Linked DNA regions of Macaca fascicularis. The protein of the gene in region 4 binds, or shares a complex with, the protein of the main gene of each other region. Links are inferred from orthologs where the notes say so. Each region holds a gene or a part of one and is shown on either strand. Other genes may lie near its edges.

What was found. The genes of interacting proteins can lie anywhere in the genome.
Region 1: RBM48 (region 4) and PPIL2 share a complex: the UniProt entries of both Homo sapiens proteins name them as parts of the minor spliceosome. The link is inferred for Macaca fascicularis from reciprocal best matches to the Homo sapiens genes RBM48 and PPIL2.
Region 2: RBM48 (region 4) and RBMX2 share a complex: the UniProt entries of both Homo sapiens proteins name them as parts of the minor spliceosome. The link is inferred for Macaca fascicularis from reciprocal best matches to the Homo sapiens genes RBM48 and RBMX2.
Region 3: RBM48 (region 4) and RNF113A share a complex: the UniProt entries of both Homo sapiens proteins name them as parts of the minor spliceosome. The link is inferred for Macaca fascicularis from reciprocal best matches to the Homo sapiens genes RBM48 and RNF113A.

Annotation. Positions count from the first base shown.
Region 1 is NC_088384.1:31,462,720-31,468,055, forward strand, and holds the start of PPIL2 (RING-type E3 ubiquitin-protein ligase PPIL2), read right to left. Parts: upstream 3,193-5,336; 5' UTR 3,099-3,192; coding exon 3,067-3,098; intron 1-3,066. UniProt on the Homo sapiens protein: Has a ubiquitin-protein ligase activity acting as an E3 ubiquitin protein ligase or as an ubiquitin-ubiquitin ligase promoting elongation of ubiquitin chains on substrates.
Region 2 is NC_088395.1:136,676,060-136,681,153, forward strand, and holds the start of RBMX2 (RNA-binding motif protein, X-linked 2), read left to right. Parts: upstream 1-1,902; 5' UTR 1,903-1,966; coding exon 1,967-1,971; intron 1,972-2,182; coding exon 2,183-2,298; intron 2,299-3,749; coding exon 3,750-3,801; intron 3,802-5,094. UniProt on the Homo sapiens protein: Involved in pre-mRNA splicing as component of the activated spliceosome. As a component of the minor spliceosome, involved in the splicing of U12-type introns in pre-mRNAs.
Region 3 is NC_088395.1:126,232,592-126,236,814, reverse strand, and holds RNF113A (E3 ubiquitin-protein ligase RNF113A), read left to right. Parts: upstream 1-2,133; 5' UTR 2,134-2,239; coding exon 2,240-3,274; 3' UTR 3,275-3,331; downstream 3,332-4,223. Other genes in the region: NDUFA1 (NADH dehydrogenase [ubiquinone] 1 alpha subcomplex subunit 1), read right to left, coding at 467-556, 1,840-1,941. UniProt on the Homo sapiens protein: Required for pre-mRNA splicing as component of the spliceosome. As a component of the minor spliceosome, involved in the splicing of U12-type introns in pre-mRNAs. E3 ubiquitin-protein ligase that catalyzes the transfer of ubiquitin onto target proteins.
Region 4 is NC_088377.1:128,835,960-128,841,419, forward strand, and holds the start of RBM48 (RNA-binding protein 48), read right to left. Parts: upstream 3,469-5,460; 5' UTR 3,451-3,468; coding exon 3,340-3,450; exon of another isoform or gene 3,080-3,339; intron 2,787-3,079; coding exon 2,596-2,786; intron 1-2,595. Other genes in the region: peroxisomal ATPase PEX1, read left to right, coding at 3,830-3,958. UniProt on the Homo sapiens protein: As a component of the minor spliceosome, involved in the splicing of U12-type introns in pre-mRNAs.

The DNA of each region.
Region 1 (5,336 bases), on a different chromosome or scaffold from region 4:
AAACATCTATAAGCATGGGACGGGCATGGTGGTTAATGCCTGTAATCCCAACACTTTGGGAGCCCGAGGTAGGTGAATCACTAGAGGTCAGGAGTTTGGGACAAGCCTGTCCAACAAGGTGAAACCGCGTCTCTACTAAAATTACAAAAATTCGCTGGGCGTGATGGTGGGTGCTTGTAATCCCAGCTACTCAGGAGGCTGAGGCAGAGAATTGCTTGAACCTGGGAGGCAGACGTTGCAGTGAACCGAGATCGCACCACTATACTCCAGCCTGGGCGACAGAGTAAGACTTGTCTCAAAAAAAAAAAAAAAAAAAAAAAAAAAAAAAAAAAAAAACCAGCTGGGCGCGGTGGTTCACAACTGTAATCCCAGCACTTTGGGAGGCCGAGGCTGGTGGATCATGAGGTCAGGAGATCGTGACCATCCTGGATAACACGGTGAAACCCCATCTCTACTAAAAATACAAAAAATTAGCTGGGTGTGGCGGTGGGCACCTGTAGTCCCAGCTACTCGGGAGGCTGAGGCAGGAGAATGGCGTGAACCCGGGAGGCAGAGCTTGCACTGAGCCGAGATCGCACCACTGCACTCCAGTCTGGGCAACAGAACAAGACTCCATCTCAAAAAAAAAAAAAAAAAAATTGCTTATCTGAACGCCAGTGCTTGTTTAGCTGATAGAGAAATAAAAAAACCCTGTGGCAGTTAGGATATAGTTTATTCTTTAGGCGTAGGGGTGGGTAACTTAACCAGGGAAGTTGTCTGGCATGACTGTAGGTTCTATTTATAATTTGGTATCTTATTGCCACAAAGAGTCTGTTTCGTCAATCTTATTTCTATTTCTTTATTTTTATTAAAAATTAGCCACCATGCTCAGCTAATTTTTTTTTTTTTTTGTATTTTTAGTAGAGACGGGGTTTCACCATGTTAACCAGGATGGTCTCGATCTCCTGACCTCATGATCCACCACCTCAGCCTCCCAAAGTGCTGGGATTACAGGTGCGAGCCACCGCGCCGGGCCCCTTATGATCTCTATTTCAACGTTAATGCCAGTCAGTTGTTGTGTCTGGGCCACAAAAGGGAGGAAGATATAACAAGGTACAGCTGACCTCCATCGCATCATGGCCAGGAACTCAGTTTTAAGGTTTTCCTGGAGTTCTCTTAGGCACAAGGGTGTCTGCTCAGCCAGTAAGGGGATTTAGGATTTTATTTTTAGCTTACAGGGAGGAGCAGGCTCAGGAGCTGAAAATCAAGAGTTCTGTTTAAGGCATATTAAATTTGAGGGCACGGTGGCTCACGCCTGTAATCCCAGCACTTTGAGAGGCAGAGGCGGGTGGATCACCCGAGGTCAGGAGTTCGATACCAGCCTGGCCAACATGGTGAAACCTATCTCTACTAAAAATACAAAAATTAGCCGGGCATGGTGGCAGGTGCCTGTAATCTCAGCTACTGGGGAGGCGGAGGTGGGAGAATCGCTTGAATCTGGGAAGTAGAGGTTGCAGTGAGCCAAGATCGCACCATTGCACTCCAGCCTGGGCAACACAGCAAGACTCCATCTCAAAAAAAAAAAATTGAGATGTTTATCAGTCCTCCAGTGGAGATATCAAGTAAGCCACTAACTACACAAGACTGGGGAAAGCAGCTTATAGATGACTGGGAAATTATATCACTCACAGAGAATGTTTATGGAAAAGAAACCTATGAGATCTGAGAAAAGGGAGGAGGGTCCAGAAAGGAGGCTGGGAAAAGAGAGGCCGCTGAAGTCGATGGAAAACAAAGAGCACAGGAAATCTCAGATACCAAAGGAAGGCTTCAGAAGGAGGGAGTGGTTAACAGTGTGACATACTGTTGAGAACCCCAACAAAATGAGGACTGAGGCTGCCCTGGAGCGGTGGCTCGCCTATAATCCCAGTACTTTGGGAGGCCAAGGCGGGCGGATCACCTGAGATCGGAGTTCGAGACCAGCCTGACCAACATGGAGAAACCCCCTTCTCTACTAAAAATACAAAATTAGCCGGGCCTGGGGGCACATGCCTGTAATCCCAGCTATTCGGGAGGCTGAAGCAGGAGAATCCCTTGAACCTGGGAAGCGGGGGTTGCGAAAAGCCGAGATCGCACCACTGCACTCCCCAGCATGGGCAACAAGAGCGAAACTCCGTCTCAAAAAAAACACGAGGACTGAGGATTGAATACTAGAGTTAGCAACAAGAAGTCGCTGGCAACCTGACAAGGGGCAGTTCTGGGATCGAAATTCTGACTTGAGTGGTTTCAAGAGACTCAGAAAACAGCATGAAGCCACGGGTCTCTAACTTGTTCTGAAATCACGGCGGCAGCAGGAGGGGAACGCGGGGCACGGGGCATAGGCGGATTTTTTTGTTTTATTTTATTTATTATTTTTGAGACAGAGTCTGGCTCTGTCGCCCAGGCTGGAGTGCAGTGACACGATCTCGGCTCTCGGCAATCTCCGCCTCCCGGGTTCAAGCGATTCTCCTGCCTCAGCCTCCCGAGTAGCTAGGATTACAGGCGCCCGCCACCACGCCCCGCTAATTTTTGTGTTTTGGGTAGAGACGGGGTTTCATGATGGTGGCCAGGCTGGTCTTGAACTCCTGACCTCAGGTGATCCGCCCGCCTCAGCCTCCCAAAGTGCTGGGATTACAGGTGAGCCACCGCGCCCGGCCTGGTTTGCTTTAAATAGGAAGGCTCTGCAGCACGTGTGCAGGCTGACAGGCATGAACCAGAACACAGCCAGACGCGAAGTACGGAAGAGGGAGAGATTACAGGGGCAAAGCTCGCGAGCAGACGGGGCACGGTCCGGGCAGAACTAGAGTAAAGGAAGACCGGGCTGCGCTCGAGCCCGCAGCTGACGTCTTCGGAGCCGCGGCCCCCTGGGAGAGCGCGGCGGCCCGAGGGTCATTACCCTGACTGGAGAGACGGCGGCAGCTTCCGGGAGGAAGTGACTTTTGGGCTGGGCTCTGGGGACCAGCTGAGAGGGAAGGCGAGCGGCGAGCAGGGCGGGACAGGCGGTTTACTGAGGCAGAGCGGAGCGCCACTCCCGACTGCGGCTCAACTTACATCTTGTCCTTCTGGTGCTGTCGCTTCCCCATGGCGGCGCGGCGGCGGCGGCAACTACCTAGCACGAAAAAGCAACCGCTGACCACTCAGACCATGGAGCCACTGCCGAGTTTCGTGACCACTTCCGGGTTCCGCGGCTCGCCCCGGAAACAGGCGCTTGGCGGGCTGGGAATTGTGGTTCGCTAGCGCCAGGTGCGCATGCTCGGAAGGATCGCCTGCCCAGTATGGGGTCCTAGCTAGGTGTGTTGTGTCTCGCTGGCGCCTTCTCGGGGCAGAGCTCCCTCAGCCTCGAAGCCCCATCTTCTCGAAGGGTCTCTCCCGACCGCCTCGCCTACCCCCCTCAGCCACGGCTCAGGGCCATTCCCATACTGGGTTCTCAGGTCTTATTTTATTTTCGAGACAGGATCTCGCTCTGTCGCCCAGGTTGGAGTGCAGTGGCGCAATCACAGCTCACTACAGCCTCGACCTCCCAGGCTCAAGCGATTCTCCCACCTCAGCCTCCCGAGTAGCTACGGGCACGCGCCACCACACCCGGCTAATATGTTAATTTTTTGTAGAGACAAGCTCTTACTATTTTGCCCAGGCTGGTCTGGAGCTCTTGAGCTCAAGCAGTCCTCCCGCCTTGGCCTCCCAAAGTGCTGGGATTACAGGCCTGAGCCTCCGCGCCCGGCCAGCGCTCAGGTCTTTTTCAGTGTCCTCCTAGAGCTTCAAGTCTCATGAGCCTCCACCCCATCCTTTCCCGCCTCCGTGGCCGACTCCTTCAAAGCCATGTACCACCCTCGTTCTACTCGCTCACTTCTCATTCTCTCTGCATATTCCGTCCGCACCGCCTCCAGGCCCCTTGGAGGCCCAGCAGCAGGTGGCCATCAAGCCTAGAGGTCCAAAACCCTGCCTGATCCCTTCCTTCTCTTCTGCCAGACTCTTGCCTTGGGTCAGAACAGTACCTTGGGCCCCCAACTACACTCAGGCCTGGGGTAATCTTGCCTAGGCTCCTAATTTTAAACGCCATTTATATCCCATGACTCCCAATACTAAGTCACAAGTACTCCAGGTTCCTGATCTCCACTTGGGTAGCCGCTGATCTCAAATTTAACATGTGTGGACGGGCGTGGTGGCTCACACCTGTAATCCTGGCACTTGGAGAGGCTGAGGCAAGCGGATCACTTGAGGTCAGGAGTTCAAGACTAGCCTGGCCAACATTGCAAAACCCTGTCTCTACTAAAAATACAAAAATTAGCCGGGTGTGGTGGCGGGTGCCTGTAGTTCCAGCTACTCAGGAGGTTGAGGCAGTGAGAATCACTTGAACCCAGGAGGCAGAGGTTGCAGTGAGCCAAGATTGTGCCATTGTACTCCAGCCTGGGGTGACAGAGCAAGACTCTGTCTCAAAGAAAAAAAAAAACTGGAAACAAATGTCTATGAGAACACAGCTAAACGACCCCTGGTACAGCCATGCAGTGGACTATTTTGGAACTGCTTAAAGGAATGAAGTAGATATCCCAAGAAGTAAAGACATCTCAGTGTTTTATTTATGGAAAAAAGCAAGTTGCTGAGAAGAACGTGCAATGTGACTCGTACTTGGGTTAAAATTTTAATGTGTGTATGTGTGTGTGTTTGTGTGCAGAGACAAAACATTTGGAAGGGTACACATGAAACTCATAGCGGCAGTGGACTCGTATTTTCTGTATTCACTTCTGTATTGTGAACTTTTTTCCATGGAACATGGTCTGCATTTGTAGAAGTTTAAAAACCAATTAAGGCCGGATGCAGTGGCTCATGCCTGTAATTCCAGCACTTTGGGAGGCTGAGGCAGGTGGATCACCTGAGGACAGAAGTTCAAGACCAGTCTGGCCAACATGGTGAAACCCCATCTCTACTAAAAATACAAAAATTAGCTGGGCATGGTGGCATGTGCCTGTGATCCCAGCTCCTTAGGAGGCTGAGGCATGGTAATCGCTTGAACCCGGGAGGCGGAGGTTGCAGTGAACCGAGATCGTGCCACTGCACTCCAGCCTTGGCAACAGAGCAAAACTCTGTCTCTAAATAAGTGAGCAAACAAATAAATACAAACCAATTAAAAATAACCCATTTGTGGTGATGCACCATGATGACTCAGTCAGAAAATACAATGCACCAATAACCTAAAAATTGACCCCATTGGAGAAATATTTCAACAAGCAAGAACAGTTGAGGCCGGGCACGGTCGCTCACGCCTGTAATCCCAGAGTTTTGGGAGGCCGAGGCGGGTGGATCACGAGGTCAGGAGATGGAGA
Region 2 (5,094 bases), on a different chromosome or scaffold from region 4:
CTCATTTCACAGCCATTTGAAAGAGTCAGCAAGATAATGCTGCATGCTAGTTTATCACTCTGCAGTGGCTACTTCAACCCACAACTAAGCAACCTGAGATTCCTAGGAGCAGATAACCCCCATATGCAATCTGTCACTGTTTAGCTTTCATTGCCAAGATAATTTTACAAAGTTAATGAATAGCTAGGTTGGAATGGGGAAGGGGGAACAGACATAGAATGAATGAGGAGAAACTGTCATTGGTGGGCAGGCTCTGTTCTCCTTTTTGGCAGGACATTGGTTACATGGTGGGCCACTTGAGGGTACAGTTGGTATCGTCATCAAAATGTTTTTATGAAGGACCTAATATCTGGTGCTCTGAGATAGGCCACACAGCTCTGGACTTTTACTTTTAGAACATCATGGTCCAAGAGCAGGTACTGATGTGGACATGTGCAAAATGGATTCAAACTGTCAATATGGGTTAAATCACATATTATATGTTAATCATCTCTTCCACTGGTTTCTAGATATTTCTGGTTGAAATCTATCAGGCAAATATATCTTGTCCCCTTAATTATAATATTAGCTCCTTGAGGGCAGAGGACCCAACCTGATACTCCTGTCTACAGACCTTAGCTGCACAGGACAAATCTAGATGTTCAGTAAGGACTGATTGAATCAACCTGACCTACTGGGTGCAGGTGCTCTAGTACCTTTCTAGTTAATTTATTCATTTGAGCCTCATTTCTTCCTCTACAAAACGAGGGTGGAAATTTCTTTTACTTTCTCTTTCTTTTTTTTTTTAAAAACAAGGAGTCTCGCTCTGCTGCCCAGGCTGGAGTGCAGTGGTGCGATCTCAGCTCACTGCAACCTTTGCCTCCCAGGTTCAAGTGATTCTCCTGCCTCAGCCTCCCGAGTAGCTGGGATTACAGGCGTGTGCCACCATGCCTAGCTAATTTTTGTATTTTTAGAGGAGACAGAGTTTCACCATGTTGGCTGGGTAGGTCTTGAACTCCTGACCTCAGGTGATCCACCTGCCTTAGCCTCCCAAAGTGTTGGGATGACAGGTGTGAGCCACCACACCTGGCCCCCCCTTTTTTCCTTTATTTTAGAGACAGGTTCTGCTATGTTGCCCAGGCTGGTCTCAAACTCCTGAGTTCAAGCAATCCTCCTCCCTCAGCTTCCCAAAGTGCTGGGATTACAGGCATGAGCTGCTGCGCCCGGCCAGGAATTGTAATTTTATCTGCTTCATTGGGTTGTTGTGAGGGTGGAGAGACAATACATGTAAATTGCTTAGCACATACTCTAGTATCATACAGTACATCATCTGCTCACTTGCTAGCTATTAATTTAACAATATTAATTTCTGTCTCCTGCTCAACTAGGAGAGAGCCTATGGAAAAGAGTAAGTGCAGCGGCTCTCATGCAAATCTGTAGGTATTCAATTCAGCCTATAGAGGCACACTGGTCTGTTGCCTATGTATTGGGATAAGAACAACAGAAGATTTACCTTTTCACCTATCTTCTTCACTTTTCTGCCATGACAGGGATGCTTTGATGGGTCTGTGCGTGAGCAACTGACTAAGAGCGAAGGTCCAAGTGGGACTCTGGACTGGGAGCGAGGGCTGAGACTAAAGTCGCCACATCAGGCTGCTTATTCCGTTCATTCAGCAAATATTTATAGCTAATCTAACCAGTTTCCGATATCGTTCAAGAGCTGGGGGTCCTGCAACAGCCCAGGCTCGTGCCTTTACCCCATTTCACAGAGGAGAAAAAGCGAAAAATTAGAGAAAAACCGTTTCTACAAGAGGTAACCGCAAAGAACGCGGAAGGCTTCTAGTGCGCAGGCGCCACGCCCCGGTACGCCCCAGCTCTTCCGGCGCGAGGTCACCGACTCGACGAGCCACCGGCGCCGGGGCCGCGCATGCGCGGCGCTGCCTTTCCCGGGCGCTGATTCCTGAATGCTGAGCGCGAGCCCGCGGAGATGAAGTAAGGCGTCAGCTTCCTTTTGAGGAACGAGCAGCGGGCCGCTGAGGGTGGTCTACTGGGGCTGGGGTGGTAGAGCGTCTGCGGGGTCGAGGGGCGGGAGAGGCGCGGGGACTAGAACACCTCGTCCCCTTGTTTTGCTCTTCTTCAGCTTCGGCCGGTTAGCATTTACTTGTCTGCTTTTCTGCCTCCCCTCACCCCCGCCACCGTGAAGTCCTTTAACTAAGGTGAAGCTGATCAACGAGCTGAATGAACGAGAGGTCCAGCTTGGGGTGGCCGATAAAGTGTCCTGGCACTCCGAGTACAAGGACAGCGCCTGGATCTTCCTGGGTGAGGTGCACATCTTTCTTCCGCAGTGCTCCCAAGATTCTCCTGCTCGGTGTCCGACTATTTCAGCATTTTCACCCTTCACTCCTGCTTACATTCATTGCCCTCCTTTATATCCATCTGCTGTCTGCCCGGGAATCCGTGTTCCATCTTTTTTTTTTTTTTTTTTTTCTGCCCCATTTTTAGTTTTCCTTCCCAGCCAAATCAGTGCTCATGAGAGTTACTGTTTGCCATTTGCTGTGCTAAGGTTCAGGGACTGTTGTTATTTCTCTCTCACCCCCTGACCCGTTATTACAGCTGAGGAAATTGGGGTGCAGAGAAGTTAAGGGACTTCCTTAAGGTCACATAGCTAATAACCGCAACAGGCAGAACTATAGCTTTCTAGAACTCATGGTCTTAGCCACAGCCCCATATTGCTACCACCGCCCTCCCCCATTCCCCTTCCCTTGCAGAATTCACTTTGCTCCTCTAGCTCCTGCTTTCTGACCATGGCCACACTACCATTACTGTATTCACTTTATATCACAACCAGTAATTGTACAAGTTTGATGCTTCAAAGAGGTTATTGTAAAAACGTTGTGCTAAGCACTTTATATGCATCGTTTTATTTAACTCTTATAACAGTCTTGCGAGTTACCTGCTAATATCCCCATCTTACAGATGAGGAAAGAAACATTTGGAAGGGAAATTATTCCCTAGGAAATGCTTAACAGTGTCTTTATAACCTTTGTCTATGTGTAGGTGGGGTTAATCATGACATATGTAGACTAATTTTGTATCATAGCTGTAAATTTGTGGGTAATGAGCAGATGAATTCAACATGTTTGTGGAAGCAGAGGTTTGTGATGGAAACTATCTGCTTTGCCCATAGGATTTTGGGTGCCAGGAGGACTGAGTGATCAGTTTACTTTTGTTAGTGGTGACACTGACTTCCACTCAAAATTAGTCACTCCTTTTCCTGTTCTACTGGCACCTTACATGTACTTCTGTCATTGCATCAGACTTGATTTCTTTCTTTCTTTTTTTTTTTTTTTTTTTTGAGTTGGAGTTTCACTCTTGTTGTCCAGGCTGGAGTGCAGTGACGTGATCTCGGCTCACTACAACCTCTGCCTCCTGGGTTCAAGCGAGTCTCCTGCTTAAGCCTCCTGAGTAGCTGGGATTACAGGTGCCCGCCACCTCGCCCGGCTAATTTTTTTTGTAGTTTTAGTAGAGACGGGGTTTCGCCATGTTGACCAGGCTGGTCTCGAACTCCTGACCTCAGGTGATCCACCCGCCTTGGCCTCCCAAAGTGCTGGGATTACAGGCGTGAGCCATGGTGCCCAGCCCAGACTTGATTTCTTTAAGGGCAGGGCCTGTTGCTTACTGTTTGCACCCCTAGTGCCTGGCCTAGTGCATGGTACGTAGTAAACACTTGGTAAATGTTGGTGGAACTGAAATGTGGTTTTCTTTTCTAGGAGGGCTTCCTTATGAACTGACTGAAGGGGACATCATCTGTGTGTTCTCACAGTAAGTCCCCTTTCATTTCCTGCCTCCTGAGTCGACAGAGTACTTTTTTCTGTAATGCATTTTGTGGCATCACAAAAACCACTTATTTTCACTCTAGGCTGAATGGTGTCCCTGCATGGGGAGGGCTGGAGCTTCTGCTCTAGTCTAGATCAGTCCCAGGACATGGTTCTAGAATGTTCTCCTGTGGGAGATCCAAGAGGTTTGTTAATTTGGGAGGCCATCTTGGGGATTCTAGTCTATTTCTGTTGTTTTTCACTGAGGTTTGTTCAGCCTGGGCCTAGACTGGAACAGACTGGAACCCTCAGGAAGGTTCCATATTGGTACGCCTCCTTGGGCTCTTGCAAACTAGGGGTAACCCATGGTCACAGGGCCCTTCTGGTCCTTGCCTGTGTGGCATCATACGACTGGGGCAAACCACAGAGGAATTGGGATGAAAAACAGAAAGAAGGTTGTAGTTTGCTTTCTTTGATTCTCAATGAATGTAAGGTTAGTGAGCAAAGCCAATCTCTACCTGGAGGCTGAGAATCACAGCCTGACGAGGAACAAGAATGAATAGGAGATCTGTATATTCTTCATTCTGCTGAGGTGTTGGCAGCAGCATTTGGTGGGAGAGGGTGTTGGTGGCTCATACTGGTAGTAGCAGCTAGTAGGAGAGGGGCTGGGCAGCTGGCCTGCAACCCCAGAGGTAAACAGCACAGTTAGTCCACAGGGCCAGAGGATCTTGGCACAGGTGCAAAGGACCACTACATTTGGGTTTTGTAGGCCTTCAGAGCATAGTACTGTTTCAGAGAAGTTGGACAGCATGTACAGGTAGCAGACCATGGCAAAAGGGGCTGGCCAAGCAAACACAGGTAGCATACACTGGCAGAGGGATTGCTATGGCAGGATGGTAGGGCCATCCATGGACAGAGGGCCCTGGCTGAGTGGTTGGGCCACTTATGGGGCAGCAAGCCATGGGAAAGGAATTGGGCAATACCCGTGAGAAGAAGGCTGTGATAGAGAACCTGGGCAACCCACACGAGTGGAGGGCCCTGGCAGGGACAAAGATTGCTTCCTTCAACTTGTGGATGTTGCAAGGTTCACAGCAGGTGCAGCCTATAATTTCTACCCCTTTGTGTACTTCTACTCAGCCTTCCCTCTTGGAGCTGTTTAGTTCTACTTGCATTGAGTGATGATCAGCTAGCACGTGTGCTTGTTTGTTTATTCTAATTCTCTATTCTCTATTCTGGTTACACACGTTGCTCTCCATGAAGATTGCCGCTGATAACAGTGCCTTTCAAAAAACTGCTTTGT
Region 3 (4,223 bases), on a different chromosome or scaffold from region 4:
TTTATAACCTTAGGTAGAAAAGGCCTTTGTATGGGAGACATAAAAACTCAGAATGCAGAGCAACAAAACATGATAAATTGAATATCAAAATTTAAAACTACCTGATGAAAAACATCATAAAGTGAAAAAGACAAACAGCAGACTGGGAAAAATGTTTGTCATATATAAAATAGACAAAAAATTAAAAGTCTAGAATATATAAAGAACTATAGATTGAAAAGAAAAAAGACAAAACAATAGAACAGGCAAAGGATATAGGCAACAATCCACAGAATAAGAAATATATGACAGTAAGAAAAACTAAAAAAAATAAGAAACATAAAAGATTAAATATGTAAAAAGATGCCAACCTCACTAGTAGACAAGAAAATGCTAGTTATATATTAGCATTGTATGACCCTTGGCAAGGCATTACCAGAACCCACCTCAACCCTGGCAGAAGGCTGGCATCAGAGTGGCTTCTTACCTTTGACACATAGTGACGATTAACTCCAGAGATGCGCCTATCTCTTTCCATCAGATTCCAGTGATACCCAAAATGAGCAATCCTTTTTTCCTTCAAATAAGAGACAATTATTGTTGCAGTTTATAAAAGTGAGTGACCCAGTTGATGGATATTACAATTTTTAGAAGGGACATTCTAGAGAAATGGAATCATCATTCAAATAAAAATGCAAATTAGTAGTACAAGAACAGAATCTCCTAAATAAAATCAGACCACTACACTTTAGGATTAAGTTGGTGACCGTGACTTCTTACACTATTTTAACCAACATGAATTTTTTTTCCTTTTTAAAAAAAAGAAAAAAAAAAGAAATATCTAGTTGTTGCCTTTTGGGACACTAAGAAACAACAGCTGTAGATCACACGTGGACAATCACAAATTCAAAAAGTAAGTAAATTTATACTCTGTACTCTAGAGATGATGTGAAGGGCTAAGAGGGGAAAATGAATCCTGATGTAAAACACAAGACCTTGCAGTAAATTCCTAAACGCTTGCAAGAGAAAGTGGGGAATAAAAAAGTCAAGGGTGGCCGGGAGCGGCGGCTCACGCCTGTAATCCCAGCACTTTGGGAGGTCAAGGCGGGTGGATCACCTGAGGTCAGAAGTTCGAGACCAGCCTCGCCAACATGATGAAACCCCCGTCTCTACCAAAATAAATAAATAAATAGCCGGGCGTGGTCCCGGCTACTCAGGAGGGTGAGGCAGGAAAAATTTTTTTTTTTTTTTTTGAGACGGAGTTTCGCCCTTGTTGCCCAGGCTGGAGTGCAGTGTCGCGATCTCGGCTCACTGCAACCTCCGCCTCCTGGGTTCAAGCGATTCTCCTGCCTCAGCCTCCCGAGTAGCTGGGATTACAGGCATGCGCCACCACGCCCCACTAATTTTGTATTTTTAGTAGAGATGGGGTTTCCCCATGTTGGTCAGGCTGGTATCGAACTCCCGACCTCAGGTGATCCGCCCGCCTCGGTCTCCCAAAGTGCTGGGATTACAGGCGTGAGCCACCGCGCTCAGCCAGGAGAATCTCTTGAACCCGGAAGGCGGAGGTTGCAGTGAGGGATTCTCAGGCTTGAGCCACCTCTTCTAATCTACCTTTCCGGCCCCCGCGTCGCTACTCTGCCCTAAGGCCCACTTTGATACACCCAGAAACGCTGTTTTTCACCAGAGCAGGATGTGGTTTCTACCGCGCTTCGTTTCGCAAGCCTCGGCTTCTAGGCAACCGGAAGAAAGTAGAGGGCCGGCCTCGGAGAGAGGGTCCGCAGGCTGACGGCCTCTCTGCCCACCATCCTTTTCAGAAATCAGCCAGTGGAGTCAGCCCCCGGGCCCAGGAAGCCGCCTTACCTTGCCCCCGTTAGTGAACCTCTGGATGTACGCAGTAGCCAGTCCTGGAATAAGCAAGCACACGCCCATGGCGGCGAGTCCGGGGAGAATCTCGAACCACATCTCTGCCCCGTTATCTAGGCCAAAACCCTACTTCTGGGTCCTTGAAAGGTGACCGGGCTTCGGCTCCCTTCCCAGTAAGCCCCGCGGCCGCCCGCGAGCGGGGCGGTGCCACGTACGGCTCCGGAGGAAGCGACGGGATCTGCCAGGGCTCAAGAGAGGCTGGCGCTCGCGCTCTCGCAGTTCTCTTCCGTCAGTGTCTTTTGCTTCGACTCCCGGCGGAGCGCGCGACGTGGAGTAACGCGCAGAGGCCAAGTGCAACCCAGGCAGCGACGGCCGTTTCGGAGCTCGGGACTCTAAAATGGCAGAGCAGTTTTCTCCAGGGAAGACGGCGGATCAGGTGTGCACCTTCCTTTTCAAAAAGCCTGGGCGGAAAGGGGCTGCTGGACGCAGAAAGCGCCCGGCCTGCGACCCAGAGCCCGGAGACAGCGGCAGCAGTAGCGACGAAGGCTGCACTGTGGTTCGACCGGAAAAGAAGCGGGCGACTCACAATCCAATGATACAGAAGACTCGTGACAGTGGTAAACAGAAGGCAGCTTACGGCGACTTGAGCAGCGAGGAGGAGGAGGAAAATGAGCCCGAGAGTCTCGGCGTGGTTTATAAATCCACCCGCTCGGCGAAACCCGTGGGACCAGAGGATATGGGGGCGACAGCTGTCTATGAGCTGGACACAGAGAAAGAGCGCGATGCACAAGCCATCTTTGAGCGCAGCCAGAAGATCCAGGAGGAGCTGAGGGGCAAGGAGGATGACAAGATCTATCGGGGAATCAACAATTATCAGAAATACATGAAGCCCAAGGATACGTCTATGGGCAATGCCTCTTCCGGGATGGTGAGGAAGGGCCCCATCCGAGCGCCCGAGCATCTACGTGCCACCGTGCGCTGGGATTACCAGCCCGACATCTGTAAGGACTACAAAGAGACTGGCTTCTGCGGCTTCGGAGACAGCTGCAAATTCCTCCATGACCGTTCAGATTACAAGCATGGGTGGCAGATCGAACGTGAGCTTGATGAGGGTCGCTATGGTGTCTATGAGGATGAAAACTATGAAGTGGGAAGCGATGATGAGGAAATACCATTCAAGTGTTTCATCTGTCGCCAGAGCTTCCAAAACCCAGTTGTCACCAAGTGCAGGCATTATTTCTGCGAGAGCTGTGCACTGCAGCATTTCCGCACCACCCCGCGCTGTTATGTCTGTGACCAGCAGACCAATGGCGTCTTCAATCCAGCGAAAGAATTGATTGCTAAACTAGAGAAGCATCGAGCTACAGGAGAGGGTGGTGGTGCTTCCGACTTGCCAGAAGACCCCGATGAGGATCCAATTCCCGTTACTTAGCTGTCTGATAATTCTTAAATTTAAATAATAAATATTTTGTTCTTTTGGAAGTCTTAATTCGTGTCCTTCCTTTGTAGAGACAGTGACAGAGAAGGCGGGTGGTGAAGTAGGGTCCTGGATTAAAAACCTCAAGGTAGGTATAATCAGGATTTTTAGCCCTAGGATAACCATTTTGCCTGTGTTTCTTTTCAGAACACTTTGGCATCAATTATAGGGGTGGGAGTAGTTTGAGAAAAGAGCTATAATTTGCTTGAAGTAGCCAAAGCTATGACGAAAGTAAGAACTCTGAGCCTGTTTATCATATCACATTTCTGTATCACTTAATAGTTTACAAAGTACTTTCATGCATTCTTTCTCTTGGGAGCCTGTACTACAAAATATACCGGAGCCAAGGTGTTGGGGAGAGGGGTTGCGTTTGGGGAATTGGTAGCTAGTACCACAGGCTTCACATATGGGAAATGTTCCTTGCTGTCTGGGTTATTTATTTATTTATTTATTTATGAGACGGAGTCTCGCTCTGTTGTCCAGGCTGGAGTGCAATGGCGCGATCTCAGCTCACTGCAACCTCCGCCTCCCGGGTTCAAGCGATTCCCCTGCCTCAGCCTCCCGCGTAGCTGAGACTACAGGCGCTTGCCACCACGCCCAGCTAACTTTTTGTATTTTTAGTAGAGACGGGGTTTCACCATATTAGCCAGGATGGTCTTCATCGCCTGAACTCGTGATCCGCCCACCTCGGCATCCGCCCACCTAGGCCTCCCAAAGTGCTGGGATCACAGGCGTGAGCCACCGCACCCGGCTCCCTTGCTGTCTTGGAAGCAGCTATAGTTAACCCCCTCTTCCATGGATGATAAAAGTATCTGTGCTCAGCTATCCAAGTGTGATAGACACTAGCCTCATGTGACTGTTGAGTACTTGAAATGTGGCTGACCACTGTATTGGACATTGCTAT
Region 4 (5,460 bases):
ACAGTATTCATTCCATTGTTCGAGTATGTACTTAGAGCCTCCCCTTTTCTTCCCTTCGAGCCTCTTTGTTTCCTAGTCTTTAAACAACTAAGGACCCAGCTGGTTGGCCTGAAGTATATAAACTGTGGTCATAAAATAGAGCTTTTCTCTGTGGCCCTGAAGAGTTACTTCATACCCAATTAAGCTTTTTCAGCACAATGTATTTCTGTAATGGGATTCTTGCCTTAAAAATCAGATGAAAAATACTATAATCATAAAACGTTCAATAACTGAGGAACTATTAAACATATAACAATGAGAAAATGAGAAGAATGTTATTCAGTCAATAAATACTTACTAAACATCTATGATTGGCCAGGTACTACAATAAATATAACTACTTCTGTATCCAGGGATAATGATAAATACTTGCTCAGATTTTACCATATGCCAGGCAATGTTGTAAGTGCTTCACTTGAATTAACACCTAACAACAACCCTGTAATGAAACGGAAGCACTGGGACATTACATAACTTAGCCATGCTCATACTCTGGTTTGAGGAGCAAGGATTCAAATCCAGATGTCTTACTTCAGAGCCTACTAGACTAGGTACTTTGGAAAACAGAAAAGCTCGAGAAAATATTTCTCTAACCATGACAGCTGGCAGATTGGTTAAGAAAGTGAGATTACATATAACAGCAGCCTGAGAAAACCACACATGACCCAGTAAAATCAAGTGCTTTTGTGGTAGATTATGATTTCTACTGATAGCACATGAAAGAAAATATGAATTGTAACAGCCAGAGAAGGATGGGTCTCAGAGCAGATTAGTGAGGAGAACAGAGATCAACATAAAAATAGATAAGGCATTGCATACTTCAGCCTTTTTGGAGCAGAGGGTTTATGTCACATAGAAGGCCGGAAAACACTGAGTCAATTTGCAGAAAGGAGTAACAGTAGAAACCACAATAGCTAATGCTTACTGTATTCTGACCAGGAGGCACTCTGCTAAACCCTTTATATGGATTATCTCATTTCATCCTCATACAACCTCAAGAAGTAGATAGGTCCCTTTACCATATAGATTTTACGGAACAGGAAAAACTTAAACAGGTTAAATAACTTGTCCAAGATCACAAAGCTAGTAAGCAGTGGAAATGGAAAACTTACTCCAAACCCAACATTTTTTTTTCTTTTGAGACATAGTCTCACTCCATCACCCAGGATGGAGTGCAGTGGTCCATAAATGACTCACTGCAACCTCCACCTCCTGGGCTCAACTGATTCTCCCACCTCAGCCTCCCAAGTAGCTGGGACTACAGGAATGCACTACCACGCCCACCTTGATTTTTGTATTTTTAGCAGAGGTGAGGTTTTGCCATGTTGGCCAGTCGGGTCTCGAACTCCTGGGCTCAAGCTGTCTGCCCACCTTGGCCTTCCATAGTGCTGGGATCGAATTCAACTTTTTTTTCTTTTCTTTTCTTTTTTTCTGGGACAGTCTCACTCTTTCCAGGCTGGAGTGCAATGGCATGATCTTGGCTCACTGCAACCTCTACTTTCTGGGTTCAAGTGATCCTTGTGCCTCAGCCTCCCCAGGAGCTGGGATTAAAGGCTTGCACCAACACAGCTAATTTTTGTATTTAGTAGAGTCAGGGTTTCACCATGTTGGCCAGACTGGTCTTGAACTCCTGACCTCAGGTGATCCGCCTACCTCCACCTCCCAAACTGCTGGGATTACAGGTGTGAGCCACATGCCTGGCGCCAAACCCAAATTTTTTTTTTTTTTTTTTTTTTTTGAGACGGAGCCTCGCTCTGTCATCCAGGCTGGAGTGCAGTGGTGTGATTTCTGCTCACTGCAATCTCCACCTCCCGGGTTCAAGCGATTCCCATGCCTCAGCCACCTGAGTAGCTGGGACTATGGGTCTGCACCACCACACCCGGCTAATTTTTGTATTTTTAGTAGAGCCGGGGTTTCCATCATGTTGGCCAGGCTGGTCTTGAACCCCTGACCTCAAGTGATCTGCCTGCCTCGGTCTCCCAAAGTACTCTGATTACAGGCGTGAGGCGTGAGTTATTGGCGCCCAGCCCTCAAACCCATTTTTTTTTTCTTTGAGGCGGAGATCCCCTCTTGTTGCCCTGGCTGGAGTGCAATGGCGCAATCTCGGCTCACTGCAACCTCTGCCTCCTGGGTTCAAGCAATTCTCCTGCCTCAGCCTCCTGAGTAGCTGGGATTACAGGTATGCACCACTAGACCCGGCTAATTTTGTATTTTTAGTAGAGACGGGGTTTCACCATGTTGGCCAGGCTGGTCTCAAACTCCTCACCTCGTGATCCGCCTGCCTCGGCCTCCCAGAGTGCTGTGATTGCAGGCGTAAGCCACCGTGCCTGGCCAAACCCAACTTTTACTCTACCACGCTACAGGACATTACATTGTTAAGCATGGGATGTGATGGATACAGTGTTTCAGTAAAGTTAACCTGTAAAAAGGCTGTAGGAAGATATGCTAGATTACATTTTGGGGTAATTCAGATATGAATGAGGGAAACTTGGGGCCAAAATGACAGAAATATGAATGGAGGAAATGAAACGAGTCATTGCTTAACTTGCACCTTACCTTGCACTTTGTAAGTTCATAAATTTAATAAGATAAACTTCAGTAAAGTCTTCTGCTGGGTATTCATCTAGCGCATTGTACTGTTCAATTGCACCATATAAAGCGAATCGCTCAACTAATTCCTTCATGACTCCCACAGCAGGAACTCCTTGTATTAATAAGTACTGAGATTCCAAATTGATTGTATATACCTGAAAGAAATGCATAGTTATTAAACGTATTTCGCAAATAAGCCTAGGACGAATCTGCCTCTATTTTTTTTTTTAAACAGAACTTTGAAAACAAGAAATAATCTGTTCAACCCAGTCAGCAAAAAACACAAAATAAAATTTCTGCCATTCCCTCTGCATAAAGAGTAACAGTCCATGTGAGAGGCTACCTAAGGCATATAACAGACTACCTTCAGTCGACATTTTTTTCCAGAAATTGAGTCGGCAGAAGTCACTGGGAACAATCACTCAACGAATATTCACTGAGCGCTTACCTGTGCCAAGTAGTACTGTAAACACTGAAGATCCAATGACTAAAACCAAGCCCTATTCTCGTGGAGTTGATGTTCTAATAGTTGACCAAAAGGGTCGTGAGAATCTTTGGTACCTGGCCCAGGGTTCTTCACGCCAGCTCTAATGAGCGACAGATCTGACGGAAGCCTTGTCGTGCCTTTATTTCCGTAGGTTAGCCATATGGCGCTAGCGCTCACAAAAAGCTACCGAGGAGAGCGAATGAAACCAAAAATCACTTTACCTTGACAGCACGAGGCCGTCGTCCCTCCCGATATTTGGCCCGCGTGTCGCACACCGCCCTCTGGACGTGGTGGTCAAATAAACTCCCTAACTCCCCACCGCTGGACGCCATCTTGCCTACTTTGATCCTTGCAGGGAGGACAACATCCGCCCTGCTGACCTCCCTTTTATCCAATAAGAGAGCGGGATGAGTTAAGGAGTGTCAGCATTGGCTGAAGAATCGACAGCGTCGGCCATCGTTTCCTGCGTGCGAGGATTTGATGAACGAGGTGCCGCCCCCGAGCGGCTTGGCGGAGAGGCGCGGTGGGTGACAGAAGCTTTCTTGTCCCACCCCACTACAGGCTTACGGCGAGACGCGCAGCGGGGAGAGGGGGCGGGGCCTCAGGGGGCGGGGCCGATCGATCTCCTCCGGTTCCGACGTCCTCGGCCTGCCAGGTCCCGTGTCCTTTGCGGCGCTAGGGTGGGCAAACCCAGAGCGACGCTTCGGGACGATGTGGGGCAGCGATCGCCTGGCGGGTGCTGGGGGAGGCGGGGCGGCAGTGACTGTGGCCTTCACCAACGCTCGCGACTGCTTCCTCCACCTGCCACGGGGTCTCGTGGCCCAGCTGCACCTGCTGCAGGTAACGTGCTGGCCCCGGGCCACCTGATCTTCAGCCTGGGGTCGGACAAGGCCGAAGCCTCTCAGGGACGCGGCGGGACACCGGCTGCCACCCGGGCGCCCCCGAAGCGTACAGAGATTAGGGTCCCTCGACGGCAGGGCCCTTCTGGTTAGTCTCTGCATCCCGCAAGTCCAGTGCAGCCCTGGGCTCGTCTTATCACAGGTCTTTTCACTTGGTGAAACTGGGCCTAGAAATGTCCTAATATTCTACCACTGTTTTTATAAATATTCCTCATTCCAGGCTGGAAAAGTTCCTGATAAGTGGTTTGTTTTTGTTATTTTAAAAGGTGCTTTTCTTGCCAGTCATTTCCAGTTACCTGCGCTGCTGCCGTCCGGGCCGCGAGAGGGAGGCGCAGAGTTGTTGGTGGAGCCCCTGTCGGTCCCCGGGGACTGAGCACCGCGTCCCATGAGCGGGAAAGCTTAATATAGTAATGGTTCTGTCCTGCGTCCCAGACCCTCGGAACACAGCTGTAGTGTGTCAGGAACACATAACGTAGTTAAGATCACTTGAAGCTCTGCGATCAGTCGCCCTTCTGGACGTTGTGGTTGGGATGTTTCGCAGTTCTAACCACCGGTGGAGATACAGCGTCCTTATTTTCGTAATTAAAAATAGAGGCACATGGTCTCACGAGTTTGAGTGTGGTTATGGGGGCAAAAGGACGGCGTATTTGAAATCTTCATAAATCCTGGATGCATGGTACCCACCAGTGGCTAATCTATGTAATGAATAAAGAGTTTGCAATAATTTCAAGCATCCCTTCTTTCCACTTGAGTTACTTCTCCATACCTAGGGGAAGATTTTTTTGGTCCATTGAAAACATGAGTTCAGCAGAATCCTCCTATCATCGTCGTTATTATTTTTTACTACTAAGTAGACAATCTTGGTTTTTGATGGGCTTTATGGTTAGAGACAAATCAGTCACTGTCACCAAGTTCCAGGTAGAAGTTGGTTCAGTGCTCTGTCAGCTTCGATGGGATTTTTCAACATGTTTTCAAATCCACTCATGATAGTAGGAATGCTTTCTTACAGTAACTCTAATTTGATCCTAAGATGTAGTTGTTACCTTACATTCATCACTGTTTAAGAATTTAGTGGTCTTGATCTTTGTTTTAAATTTTGAGCCTTCGAGAAGTATTTATAAGAATTAATTCATGTTACCTTATATTCGTCACTATTTAAGAATTTAGTGGTCTTGATCTTGTTTTAAATTTTGAGCCTTCAAGAAGTACTTATAGGAACTAATTCATGCATATCTTTTTGAAATGTAAATGTCTTTAGCCCTGGAACAAATTGCTGTTTCTGTTCAGCCCATATTAGCAGAATAGGTCAACTTTGCTTTCTAATTATCAATGTAATAAGTTTATGACTTTATAGATTCTATAAATCTATACATTTATTTCTTGATGAATTATATAAATTTATATAATTTATGTTTTGTAGAAAATTTAGAAAGCATGGAAAAT